2 linked regions of the Drosophila melanogaster genome follow. The protein of the gene in region 2 purifies or fractionates together with the protein of the main gene of each other region. This does not show direct contact. Each region holds a gene or a part of one and is shown on either strand. Other genes may lie near its edges.

What was found.
Region 1: the proteins of obst-A (region 2) and knk purify together in Drosophila melanogaster (affinity purification with western blotting, with the first as the bait; one study listed by BioGRID). This does not show direct contact.

What each region holds. Positions count from the first base shown.
Region 1 is NT_033777.3:10,121,297-10,127,467, reverse strand, and holds knk (knickkopf), read left to right. Parts: upstream 1-1,803; 5' UTR 1,804-2,248; coding exon 2,249-2,339; intron 2,340-2,703; coding exon 2,704-2,926; intron 2,927-3,000; coding exon 3,001-3,348; intron 3,349-3,389; exon of another isoform or gene 3,390-3,420; coding exon 3,421-3,974; exon of another isoform or gene 3,975-4,036; coding exon 4,037-4,262; exon of another isoform or gene 4,263-4,279; intron 4,280-4,316; coding exon 4,317-4,944; 3' UTR 4,945-5,103; downstream 5,104-6,171. Other genes in the region: ATPsynepsilonL (ATP synthase, epsilon subunit-like), read right to left, coding at 5,248-5,442; gammaSnap2 (gamma soluble NSF attachment protein 2), read left to right, coding at 6,094-6,171.
Region 2 is NC_004354.4:20,237,657-20,244,396, reverse strand, and holds obst-A (obstructor-A), read right to left. Parts: upstream 4,543-6,740; 5' UTR 4,420-4,542; coding exon 4,371-4,419; intron 3,336-4,370; coding exon 3,132-3,335; intron 2,787-3,131; coding exon 2,583-2,786; intron 2,513-2,582; coding exon 2,256-2,512; 3' UTR 1,188-2,255; downstream 1-1,187.

The DNA of each region.
Region 1 (6,171 bases), on a different chromosome or scaffold from region 2:
ATAGGCCGCGGAGCTTGTCGATCGACTATGTGTCTCATTTTTAATCTCATCAGCAACGTCAGCAATCGAACAGCCGGAAGTTGTCTCAGTCAAACCAATTTAAAATGCTCATTTAAACACTTAATAAATTCACTAAGAACCCAATGCTAGCTAGACCAGAAAGCAGAAGTCAAAGAGATGAGGCAAACGCGGAAGAAGTATAAAATAGATGCATTAATAACGTATGCATCGCAGTTAATTGATACCTACATATACATATAAAAAAAACGCAGCCTAAGTTTAAAATACAAATTAGTGTTCTCAATTCGTTTTATTGAAAGTCTATCTGAAATGAGAGAAACAAGAAAAAAAAACAATAATAAGAAAATACTATTTTTATACGCTACATTTAAGCTAAGTATTGCTACTTTTAGTTCAACTATGCGTGCGTGCGTCCAAGACCAATTCTCACATATAGTCTATTTGCCCCTTGGCCCCGCCCCCTTTTTCATCGGTCAACAACTTTTCCAGCGTGTTTACTGTTTTGTAAAGTTTCTTGTATTCATTGTCATGTTTTCCATAAAGAACTATAAACAAAACAACCATTTTTATAGGTTATCTAGTGTCTAGTGTTAACAAATAAAAAACAAAACAAACAAATTATAAAAACGCAAACCATAAATGATAAATGAGAGTAAATTATAAACCATGCGCTGAAAATGTTAAACAACAAAATTCTGAAAAATGTACGGCAAAAAATGTTCAAAACACTGAAATGTAAACGCATAAAATGATGAAATAAAAACTAAAACAACATAAATTGTGCTTCTTATGAGAATAATGATATATTATTAATATTGTATTTTCAATAAAATAGTAATACGAGTACGAAGAGTGCAGCGGGATAGAAGATAGCAGAGCCTAAATTGTTTAGAAAATAAGAAAATCCGTGAAAATTGGTCTAGATCCTCAGTGAATCGTATACAAATTGTCCACAACTTCGATACAAATATTTTGGTTGCAAATTTCATGTTTTAGATCGACGACCCACTTATTCAATTTTATTTGCAACGCACATCCTTATTCATATATCTTTGACATGCCTTTTTGTAAATAAAATCGCAAACACAAAAAAGAGAAAACTTAAAACGAAAACATTATTCATTAAATGAAATAAAATCCAAAGCAGTCGAGTAGAGAAACTGTTGCAATTGCTGTTTGAATAGAAACGCAAACAGACGACAAATTGCAATTGATTAGTTTTAAAAACATTGAATTGCTATTCAAAATAAAGATCTAATAAAGGCAAACTTAAGGATAAAGTTTAGTTTTGCAAGCAAGAAAATTGTGAAAAATAATGAAAGTGTGTTTTATTTCGCCCCAGGCAGTTTCAGATGGCTACATTTACCCTGATAAGAACTCGGATCAAGAAAAGTTATATAAAAATATAATACTATTCATGGGGTCAGCAACATTAATATCGCAATATATATTATATGCGGCTTAATTTGTTCTACTTGATAGCGCCACAATGAATAGATAATCATAGATCTTTTCCGAAGAATTCTTTAAAAATCATTTACAGTGCACACGTAGGTAGTATAATGTATTTGTGGTATTATTTTGGAATCTCTCAAGCACACCTCGCGTATTCCGTGTGCAGCAAGTTACCGTTACGGCCACTCTTGGCCATTTCAATGCCAATCACGCATGCACACAGCTCAAGAGAGAAAGATTCGGAGAGCAGTGCTCACTTAACATTGCCAAGACCAAGACGTCGGAACTCCGAAAGAAACCCAAAACGAAATAACGGCGGCTTAAAGTCTCAGTTCACTCAGATCGCTTGGACAGTGCGGTTCGTTTTTGATTTCGGCCTTAAGCGCGAGCTTTGGAAAAAGTAAAAATATATATATAAAAACGCCGGAACTGCTGCCTAAACCTGTTTTGGCCAAGTGAACAAAACAACAACAATAGCAGCGAAAACGCATGCAAGTGACGAAACGACCTTAAGCAAAAGCAAGAAAAATTATAAATAATTTACTTGGCTCTCAATTAATATTAAACAGACGTATCTATGTATTGTTTGGAAATCTGACCATCTTCAGTGACGAAGCGAACCCGCGAAAAAACCCAAAATGCAAAATGCTGCAGCGTGAATAAGAATTCATAAGCATAAAATCGATTCAAAAATTAAAAAAAAAAATTAAAACGTGGCTTAGGAAGTGGGAGTGAAATAAACCAGACCGGGATAACAAAGGAGGGAATTAAGATGGCATTGAGCAGCAGAGTTCTTTGTCTGCGATTGCAGCACCATTTATTACTGGTTATTTTAACGATTTTCCTGCTTTGCCCCGCCGCCTGTGAGTTAACTAGACTACATTGCACACTTAACAATAACAAAGAAAACCGAGGCAAACTGCAAAGGAAAGAGAAATTTTTACTGGCGTTACGCTCCAGACGGGGCAAAAAACAAATTCACTTTCGTGTAAAACTAGAGAAACTGGTCTAGTCTTGGATTGGTCGCTCAGAGCTCCCGCCAGGGGGCGCCACCTGGCCCAGTGGCAGTAAATCAGAAGCCAAATTGTTGGCTTATTAGTCAGAGCGAAAATCCAAAAAAAAAAAAACAAGTTTGTTGTCATAGTCTTTCGTTTGCGATTTGTTTTCAATGTTTTTTTTTTTGCCGGCTTCAAATTTTCTTAGCTTAACTTTAACTTATCTAAATAGCGGCCCAGAACGAAGAAGAAGATGGTCCGTACCGGGGAAAATATCTGGGGAAACTGAACTCCTACCATCATCAAGTGTCCGGCGATGTGTACGCTGTGAATGAGTACACCTTTCTGATTGTGGGCTTTAACTACGATGGCAACGGGGCGGATACGTTTTTCTGGTCGGGCGCTAGTAATCGGCCGGGACCGCAGGGATTCATTGTGCCCGATGAGTATGGCAAGTAAGTGTCAAAATATATATTATTCCTATGGAGAATAAATTGAAATGAATATATGATGGAAATGCCAACCGTAGAACCAACATTCTGGATCGCTATCACAACAAGGATTTCACGCTGACGCTGCCGGATCGAAAGAAGATAACTGAGATTAAATGGCTGGCGGTTTACGATCTGAGCAGTCAAAACAACTTTGGCGACGTTTATATACCCGAGGAGTTCGATCCACCGATGAGCCAATTGGGCGGAACCTTCTCCAAGCGCAGTCACAATGTGAGCAGCAGCAGTGTTGAGATCTTGGACTCAAAGACCATTCGCATCAAGGACTTTACCTACGATGGGCGTGGCAAGAGGACATTTTTCTGGACAGGAGTCGGGCCACAGCCATCGAGTCGAGGAAGCAAGCTGCCAGATGAGCGAGGATAGTAAGTTTCTCTAGGGATTTAAAAAAAATTTAATCACAAACCCATTTAAACAATTCATCATAAATCATTTAGCCTTGATCCTATAAGACAGTACAACAAGGAGACCATAGAACTGGAACTGCCAGGAGATAAGACTATCTTTGACATCGATTGGATCAGTGTATACGATGTGGCTGACAACGAGAACTATGGTCATGTTCTGTTCAACGATAAACTTAATGTTCCACCTTCCCTAGTGAAAGTTACACCATTCGAATTCTCGCTGCCCAATTGCCGGCAACTACACAAGGATATGCAGGTGTCCTGGGAGGTTTTCGGGCCGCAGATCACGTTTCAACTATCCGGTCAGGTGGGCGGCAACGATTATATGTCTTTCGGCATATCCGGATCTGATGTATCCAGCCAGATGATTGGCTCCGATGTCGTGGTGGCCTATATAGACGACATCAGAGGCTACACCGTGGACTACAATATCACTTCGTTAGCGCCGTGCGTTCAGGTTTTGGGTCAAAACAAAGGAGTTTGCCGTGACGATGTGGTTGGTGGATTGGACAGCTTCCAGTTGAATACGTATAGTCGCAAGGATGGCATTAATACGATCAGTTTTAGGCGGACGCTCAAGTCATGTGAGTTGGTTATCATAAGTGGTATGCCTTTTGCTTACTGATGCAGCTCTTTCACATTTTAGCCGATGATGGCGATAAGGAGATCTTCCTAGACCGCAGCAACTACGTGATCTGGGCATTTGGCCCATTGGACTCCAACAACGAGCCCGCCTTTCACACTTACTATCCCAAGAGCGATATAGTGATAGATTTTAACACCACAGAACCGGTTAATGATTGCTTTGCATTTACAAAACGAGCGGAGACGACTAATCCTCCAGTGTGGGAGCGAACCAGGATAACAGATGCGTAAGACTCCAATCTTCCTGCAATGAAAATTTAATATAGTTCCTTGTTTTGCAGAACGGTACGCACATTCAACGCCTACTTGGGACCCTCTGGAGGACTTCGTGGCTATCAGGGATTGACGAATCATGTGTCCAGTGGCTTGGCCTGGTACATCAACGGCTACATGATTCCAGAGCTTTACCTAAAGCGTGGTCTGACCTACACCTTTAAGGTTAGGGGTGGCAATAATCCTCACTCGCCGGAGCACTATCATCCGTTGGTTATCACCGATGATCCCCAGGGTGGGTATGACCGACTGTCTGATGCAAAGCAGAGTGAGATTCGTGTATTAGCCGGTGTTGAATTCACCCGGAGAGGCAGGCCCAAGCCCACGGCTGCTGGTCCCCTGTGCCTGTCCAGATATCCTCAAAATAGTGATCGTCGACTGGATGATAACTTCCCCACTTTCAAGAAGTTCAATCGATCCCTCATCACCGAGTGTGTAGAAGGGGAACCGGCTCTATTGGAAATTACACCGAATATCACATGGCCGGATACTGTGTACTACAACTCCTTTACCCATGGCAATATGGGCTGGAAGATTCACATCGTGGACAGTTATACCAACTTGAAGAGTGGATCGATGGGCTTATCCTGGTCCTTGTGCATCATCCTGCTACCGTGGCTCGTGCTCCAGAACTGACTGTTTTCTCATTCTTAGATTCTCCTATTTAGTGTCTTAGTCTAAATTAAGCAGTCACAATCTATGTATTTGATACGCGTGTGTAGAATGTATGCTAAATGTTGTGTATATTATTATTTATATGATATTTAAATACAGAACTGTGTTGTACTTTAGAAGAATGAGCTATGAAGTTTTGACCCAACAAAAAATCTAATATACATCATTTTTTCAGTGAATTAGATTTATTTGAAATGTTATTGTAGAATCATGGCAGCTGTTATTCTGGATGAAACATGGTGTACAAATCACCGAAATGGGCGCCTAAGATTCGGATTCACGTTCTACCTTCTTGCGCGGCACAGGCTTTCCGTTCACCCACGGAGTGAACTTCACATGGCTGATGTTTCGCTTGGCGGCGTCTGCACGGAGCTCAATGCGCAGGGCCTCTCGCACCACACGGGCTGCGATGTTGGAATACTGGATATAGGTAATACCCAGATCTCTCCAGGCTTTCATCTTGCAGTAATATGGGATTAACTATAAAGATGTTAGGATAATAAGTCAAAAAAAGCTATCTGCATATAAAGGATCTTACCTTCTTCCGTTAAGAATTCGATATAAAACCGAGCGACGGGTTTCTTTTCAAGATTTCGCACACGATTGGTAAAGCCTATGTTAATATTTAATTGCATTAAGTTACAATATCAAAGTAAGTTAAATCAAAGCGCCTTGCTACCTCCTCACTTTAAGATCTTTTAAGGCAAAGCACGTGTCTTTTTATCGATGTTTTTTTTTTATCCAGACAGGGCTACAAACTTAATCGAACTAGGAGTTCTATGGATGCGATAAAAGTTCGATTTGAAACCAAATCGATACAATTTTTTAAATATATTCAAAATCCAGCTTACATGAAATGTAAATATAGCTTACTTTTCACCCCCCAAGCTCGCATATTATATGGTATGCATTTATTTAATTAAATACAAATATATATTTTATGCAACTTTAGTAAAGCACTTAATATTACCATAATACCAGTGTCATACCCGCATAGAAAAGGAGCGGCCTTTTGTGTTTTTCTCGGCACTTGCGCACTTGGGCACACTTATTTGAATATAAGTCACTTGAATTGATTTTTTCAACACGCAAAGGTTGTAACTTAGCACTATGAGCACTCTTGATGCCAAAAAGATAGAAGAGGCGGAGGCCTTGATAGGACAGACGGATAGTGCCGCGAATGAGTAT
Region 2 (6,740 bases):
CCTTTGATTTTTTTTTTGGGGGCGGCAAAGGTGGGCGGTGGGTGGTGCTGTGTGTTGTCACAGCTGGCATTGTTGTTGCATTGTTGCATTGTTGCATTGTTGCTGGCTGGTGTTTAATGCAAAACGGGATTTGGGATTGCCAGTGCTGCCAATCCATCCAGATTCCAGCCACATCTTACGCTCTTAATTGCACATAACAGCCGCAATTTGGGAATATATGTTTGATACCAAACCATATACCAAATGTTATATCGCTCGAATCCATTTTCTCGCCACATCTTCCCAACTTGAGAGCCTATAACAGACGGAATTTATGGGATTTATTTTCGATCTGAGGACTTACAGTTCGGTGGTATTCGGAATACAAAGTTTCATATCAATCGCATCCCATTGCAGAAATCTCTAGTGCTTCTACATCTCTTATAATGTTGTATGCAATGAAGAATAAACTTCTATAGTACAGCGAAATGAAGAATAAACTTCTATAGTACAGCGAAATGTACTTTAGCTTCTACTGATTCCCAGTTGCAAGATTGTCGAGCTATGGCGAATTCAGCTGAAATTTAGGTTATCCACAAACAGTGGAAACACTGCATAAAATCAGATAAAACTTAGAACGCTATCTAAAAGGATGCATCCAGCATCCACGCTGTGCACAAGGTCGCTTTCGCTCCACACTGCCAATGATTTAGCTAGTTTCCTAGCTAGTTCGGGTCCATTTCCTGGCTTGAAAAAGAAAAACACGCCAAGGCGGAAATCGAGCTTCTCTGGCAACATGTGTGATTGAAAGTAAAAGGCAAAGCTCGCGCAGACCATAAGCTTCATTCATGATTGGGCCCCGTTTGCCGATTGCCGTTACATTGTTAACTATTGCAAAACTTTTGCTTTTGCTTTGCTTTGCTCGTGCTGCGGCGATTGCATAAGCACTCTTGCCTGCTTTTTGTGTTCATTTACATGTGTAAATGTGCGGTCCGCTTGGCCACTCGGCCAATTAAAGACTCTTTGCAACCGATGGAGGGACAAAGGGCTATGATGGATAATGGATGCACCGATCCCGCCCGTCCACGGCGATTATCCGATATTGCGTGTGGAGTGAAAGGTTTGATTGATTGGTCAATCGACCACTCAACCCCCCCCCCCCCCCCTCCCTTTTTTTGCTATTTCCCCACGAGATGCACACTAGTTTTGTATAGATTCGAAATACATAGTTTTTTTTAATTCGAGAAAGATCGGAGAATGGGAAGTGAGTTTGGGTGTCATGGGTTTACAGTCGGTTGAATGATTACTTAAATAAGGTACGTGAAAATTTCTTATCGTTTGGATTTTGCAGGCAAGTCAAGATGTTTATTAATAAATAACATATAGCATAGTCTAAAAGAGTATTTATACAGTAGGTATAATCGAAATACAAGGAAATATTTATGAGGAAGATAGAATGTATAGAAAAGATTTAGATTTGAAACTTGAGGTAGAAGTGAAATACAAGATTACAGGATTGAAATGCTTAAAAAAGGAGCATTTTAGGAATAATAAACTGTAGCGTAACAGTTCGCAAAACAATAAAACACGAACTAAATTGAAATTTTAAAGATAGAAAGAAAGAAATCAAGAAAAGAGAACGGAAAAGATTCAAGTTTGAAAATTTTAGGAGGACAAAAGTTTGTAAAGAGTGGGTTTCCTTATAGACAGAAAATTGGTTTTGGAATATGATAAGAAGTTAAGTAGAGTAACGTAGAGATGAGGGAAATTGAAATTTTAGGCGAAGATCACATAGGATAGCTGAAACAGTATATGGAATAGTAGTAGTCTTGGGATTGGGAAGATAGTTTATAGTAGATAGATAGATATAGATAGTTTATAAAAAATTCAGTTTATTCTTTTTGTATAATAATAAGGCGAAAGTCTGAAAGCGGGAAATATATACACAACAATTTGGCAGCGTTTGGTTGGGCACAGAAATGGAGATTTGGGTAGTTAGAAAAGTAGTTAGAAGTAGTCAGATATAGAGAAAGATAGTTAAGAAATAGATAGGTCAGAGTATTGAAGTTTAACTGCTACACATACGCTCTATAGGAAATGGGCTAGAACTACTAAATTTAAGTGACTAAGACGCGAATCTGTGTGTTGATTTGTTTCGAATTGTTTCGATTTGATTTGATTGATAATTTCTTTCAGTGTGCTTGTGTGTGCGTGTGCATGTGCATGAGTTGTGAGTGTGGATGTGATGAGGAGAAGTAGAAGCGACCGGAAGTGGCTTAGTCCTTCTTGTCGTCCACATCCTTGTACCAGTCCTCGCAGCCGGGCACATTCTCGGGAGCATCGCACATCTCGGTGGCATCGTTGTAGACCTCGCCCAGCTGGCAGCCCAGATCCCTGGGATCCTCGCCGTTCAGGCACACGTAGAACTTCTGGCAGTCGGTGGGATGCGGATACTTGGGGTGGGTCACCACCTGGCCGCGATCGTCGGTCTTTGGCTGATCCTTGGGGCACACGAAGCCGGTCTCGGAGGTTCCTGAAAGTACACACCACATGCCAGACCATTAGCCCACTCCGCCGCACGGCGACTCAATCGGTCCACTTACTCTGCTCCGGATTGCAGCCCTCGCGCTTAGCGGTATCCGGCCACACGCAGGTGCCCGAGTACTCGTCGAAGTGGAGGCCGACGGTGCACTTGGTCTCCAGGGCGTCGCCTTCGATGCAGTTGTAGAAGATGTTGCACACGGCGGGATCGGGATGCGCGAAGAAGCCGTTCTTGCGCGGGCAGTACTTGCTGGACTTCGGCTCCTCTGTGAAGGGGAAACCGAACAGGGTTAGTTCCTCCGTCTACCAAAGGAGCTACACAACTACATAACTTTTGGATAGCTCATTGTAGTGGTGTATTTGCTTTAAATATAGAGATGTCCAAAAGTATGCTACAAATTCATCCTTTCAACTGATGCTTTCATTAGTAAGCTAAATTTGAACTTAAGAGGCGAATTTAAATTTAACTCCCTACATAGTTAATGGTGATGTAATGATGTAATTGGAATAACCTGTTTAGCGCTCTGCCTTGACATAGTTTTCGTGACCATTCCCAAGGGGTCGGTAACAATAGCCTAGAAATAGAAATGGTGATGGGATGGGCTACTTACGGAGCTCAGTGCGGTCCTCGCAGTCCACATTGAAGGGCTGGTCGCACTTGTTGAACTTGCGGTTGAGTGGATCGAAGACCAGGCCATCGGGACAGAGCTTCGCCTTGGCCACTCCGTCGTCGCAGACGTAGAACTTGTCGCACTGCACCTCATCGGCGAACTGGCCATTGGGCTTCGGGCACTCGAAGTTGGCGGCGGACACGGCTGGTGTTGGGGTAAAACAAAGGAAAGAAACAAGCACTTCAGTCAACTGGTTTTCCCACTTTCACTTTCCTGGCGACCCCCAGTCGCACTCGAAAGTGTAACAGATCGAACGACGTTCGATTACCGATGGCAATTCCGCATTTGCGGTTTCCTGGTTGCCACCACTCCCGGTGGCCCAAGAAATGATCAGTGGTTTTCCATTGGAACAGGTTGCTATCGCTTGATACATTTGACCAGAATCCCACTGACTTCGGTAAGCTAGATATAGGTTAGTACTATTTACTCAACCAATGTGAAATCTCTTACTTGGGCGCCTAAAGGATAGCTATAAAAAATGTATACAATGCGAAAATCACTGCATACTTCTATACACCTTTGCATTCGCTATGCTGACAATATCTTCTACAACCGAAATTGGGAATTCAAACTACGCGAATTCTTTGGATTTCCGTAACACACCGGTAAGTGATTCGAAATGTCGAAATTTAAATGTCAGAGAAGGCTTCATACTCAGCATAATGCCAAGATTACGACGTTCGGTCCGGGTTCAATGCACTTCTCTTGCGGCCCAGAAGAGCCGTTTTCCACTTGGCCAACAAACTGCATGAGTTGCATAACCCCAGCGGCCCAGACAGCCAGACAGCATCTTGGGCTTGGCCAGCATTCCAGTTTTTCCAGACGGAAAACGGCCCTCCATCTCGATCTGCATGTGGCCTGTAGATCCGCAATCGCGACCAGATTCAACATTTGCGTCTGAGGCCCAGTCTTGCGAGACGGCTAAATATGATTAGCTACTTATGGCTCTTAGCTCTTAGCTACTTAGCTACTTAGCTGGCCAAAACACACAGCGGCAGCAGATCGAGATCGAGTCTTGATTTCGGTGTCAGTGTCAAAGTAATTAGCAACAATTTGCGACTCTGACTTGGCGGATGGGCTGGCACTGGCCAGTCAGTCGTCAGTCACTTGAACTGGGCACCACTGATCCATTGAACGATCCATTGATCCATTCCCACGGATCCATTGATTCACACTCACTTGTCGCCACACACAGGGTCACAGCAATGGCACATAAAAATAACTTCATTTTGGACTCGGGGTCTGAGAAAAAAAAAGCAGAGCAACGATCCTGGCAACTGGATACTTGAGCAACTAATCGCGACTCAAGCGCTGCGATGGTTAAACTAAACTAACAACGGAACGCCAAAGAGGCGCACTTTTCAAGACTTTTTACCGGCTCTGCTCGACGTCGCCGACGACGCGACGACGCCGTCGGCTGCGGCAGAGTGATGCCAATGGGCGGGGCCACTACCGCCCCCGCCACTGCCACTGCCACTACCATCACCACCACCACCACCACCACTACTACTACTACTACCACACGAAACCGAGCCAGGCCAAACGAGCTGCGGCTGGAGCTGGACTGGATATGGGAATGGAATGGAGCCGGGGCTCCAAAGGCGACGAAGAAAGGCGAGCCAGAGATGTAATGGCACAAAAACAAGAAAGTCCAGGGGCGAGGACCGGAAAACCGCTGGCCAGATGCCCTAGCTTAATGTGCACCACGCGAATTCTTCAGGCCGCGCATTGATCAACTGTGTTGAAGGCGTCACCTGTATCAGATGACTTGGAGATTACATCGAAATCTTGGAAGAATTAGGAAATGCTTCTATGTATTTGTAAGCGAACTCTTAAGAATACTCAAAGGCTATTAAAAAAAAAGAAAAACAATGTTATTTATCGTATAATTACAGTTTTAATGCCGCAAATTCTTTAGTGATCTTGATCTGCAGAGCCATCTAGCGGTCATTTATGCAGGTAGAGAAGATGTTAAATTGATTTCCATTAGCGTTTCAATTCAATTGTTTCGCTTAAAAATAAAATTATATGCTAAAAATGGGTGGTTCTTAGGCATATAGAGTAATAAATAGTTGACCCTGTGCAAAAATACAAAATTCCAGCTTGTAAGCCATCTGGTCAGCTGCACATTTCCGGGTATTGACCGTCAAATAACCAAATGCGATCGAGCGACCGATGGATGCGGTTCGAGTAGGGTATGCGTTCCCTGCGATCAGTGTGTCGATGTGACCAAAAAAGCAACACACACACACACACGAAAATGAACGTAAATAAATTCATATGCGTCAACGATCCCCGAATTCAGTTGGCTCGAATTGAGTTGGCCGGGTTGATGGTCCGCATGCAAATGGCTTACATCGATCGACCAAAAGGCCAGCCAAACAGGTACCATCCATTTGGCGACGAGTTGGAGTTGGAAGACCGTCCTTTCGTCCAAAGTGCCAGCCAAAAATTGAGACTTCAAGGCTGAAGAGGACACGCCATGGGCGTAGTTTCGGTCTGGATCTGTATCTTTAAATTATACTATATATACATTGCATATATGCAGACGGACGGATGAAAGACTTGGTAATGAGTAACACACCCAATTAGTTGGAAGGTAATGTCTTAAACGCCACTCCCGCAAATCAAAAATTTAGCATTATTACTTTTGGTAAAATAAGGTAAGATAATATACATTATATATGTATAATTGAAATAAGAGCACATTTTTATAAACTATCATTTAGAAATATTAAAATATGATGAAATTAACAAGAGCAAGTACTAATGTAATAAATGTATCTTACAAATTGAATGTTGTATATCTATTAGAAACATGGTGATCCATAGGAATCCAATGAAATGCCTGATACAATATAGAATTTCTAGTTTTGCCTGCTTGGGAACTGGTCTACAGGTGATTGGTGGGGGAGGGGAGGGGGGGGGGTTGGTTTGGTGTAGCCATTTCCGAGGAGCTACGCCCATGGGATGGAAAACTGTGTCATCCCGATGCTTCCAGCGGCCAAGCGGCGGAGCATGCCGGTAATATATGTACATAATATATGCATAAATATGCTAAGCGGCCACGCAATGACCCAAAAGCCGCTGTCCTTGGGAGATGCGATCGATCCGCTCCGATCGGAGTAGGAAAGAAATAAAAAATAATGAAAATATAATCAGCTATCGGAGATCGGAGATGCGGCCAAACCAGACGGGCTGGGAAACTAGTTTAGGTTGGCGGCGTGTAGTGGCTAATTAACAATACACTTTTACTCTCGCCCGATCCCATGTGGAAACCAGGTGGAGGTGGTTCTTGGAAGCCCGGCCAGACGTCTAAATCTGAAATTCAATTGGCAAATTAATTTGTAAACTAATCGCGCTGGCATCTCGACTTCGGTGCGACAGGTTTGGCCTGGCAATTAGCGCGGGGAAAAAGCGAAGATATTAAGTATCCGCTCATCGGTTTGCCAACTCCCGCCCATGTGCAAGATTTGTCGGCCTGGAGCAAAAAGTTGAGCAGTCGAAGATTTGGCAATTCAAGGTTTTTACTGCAGCATGGGGGATCAT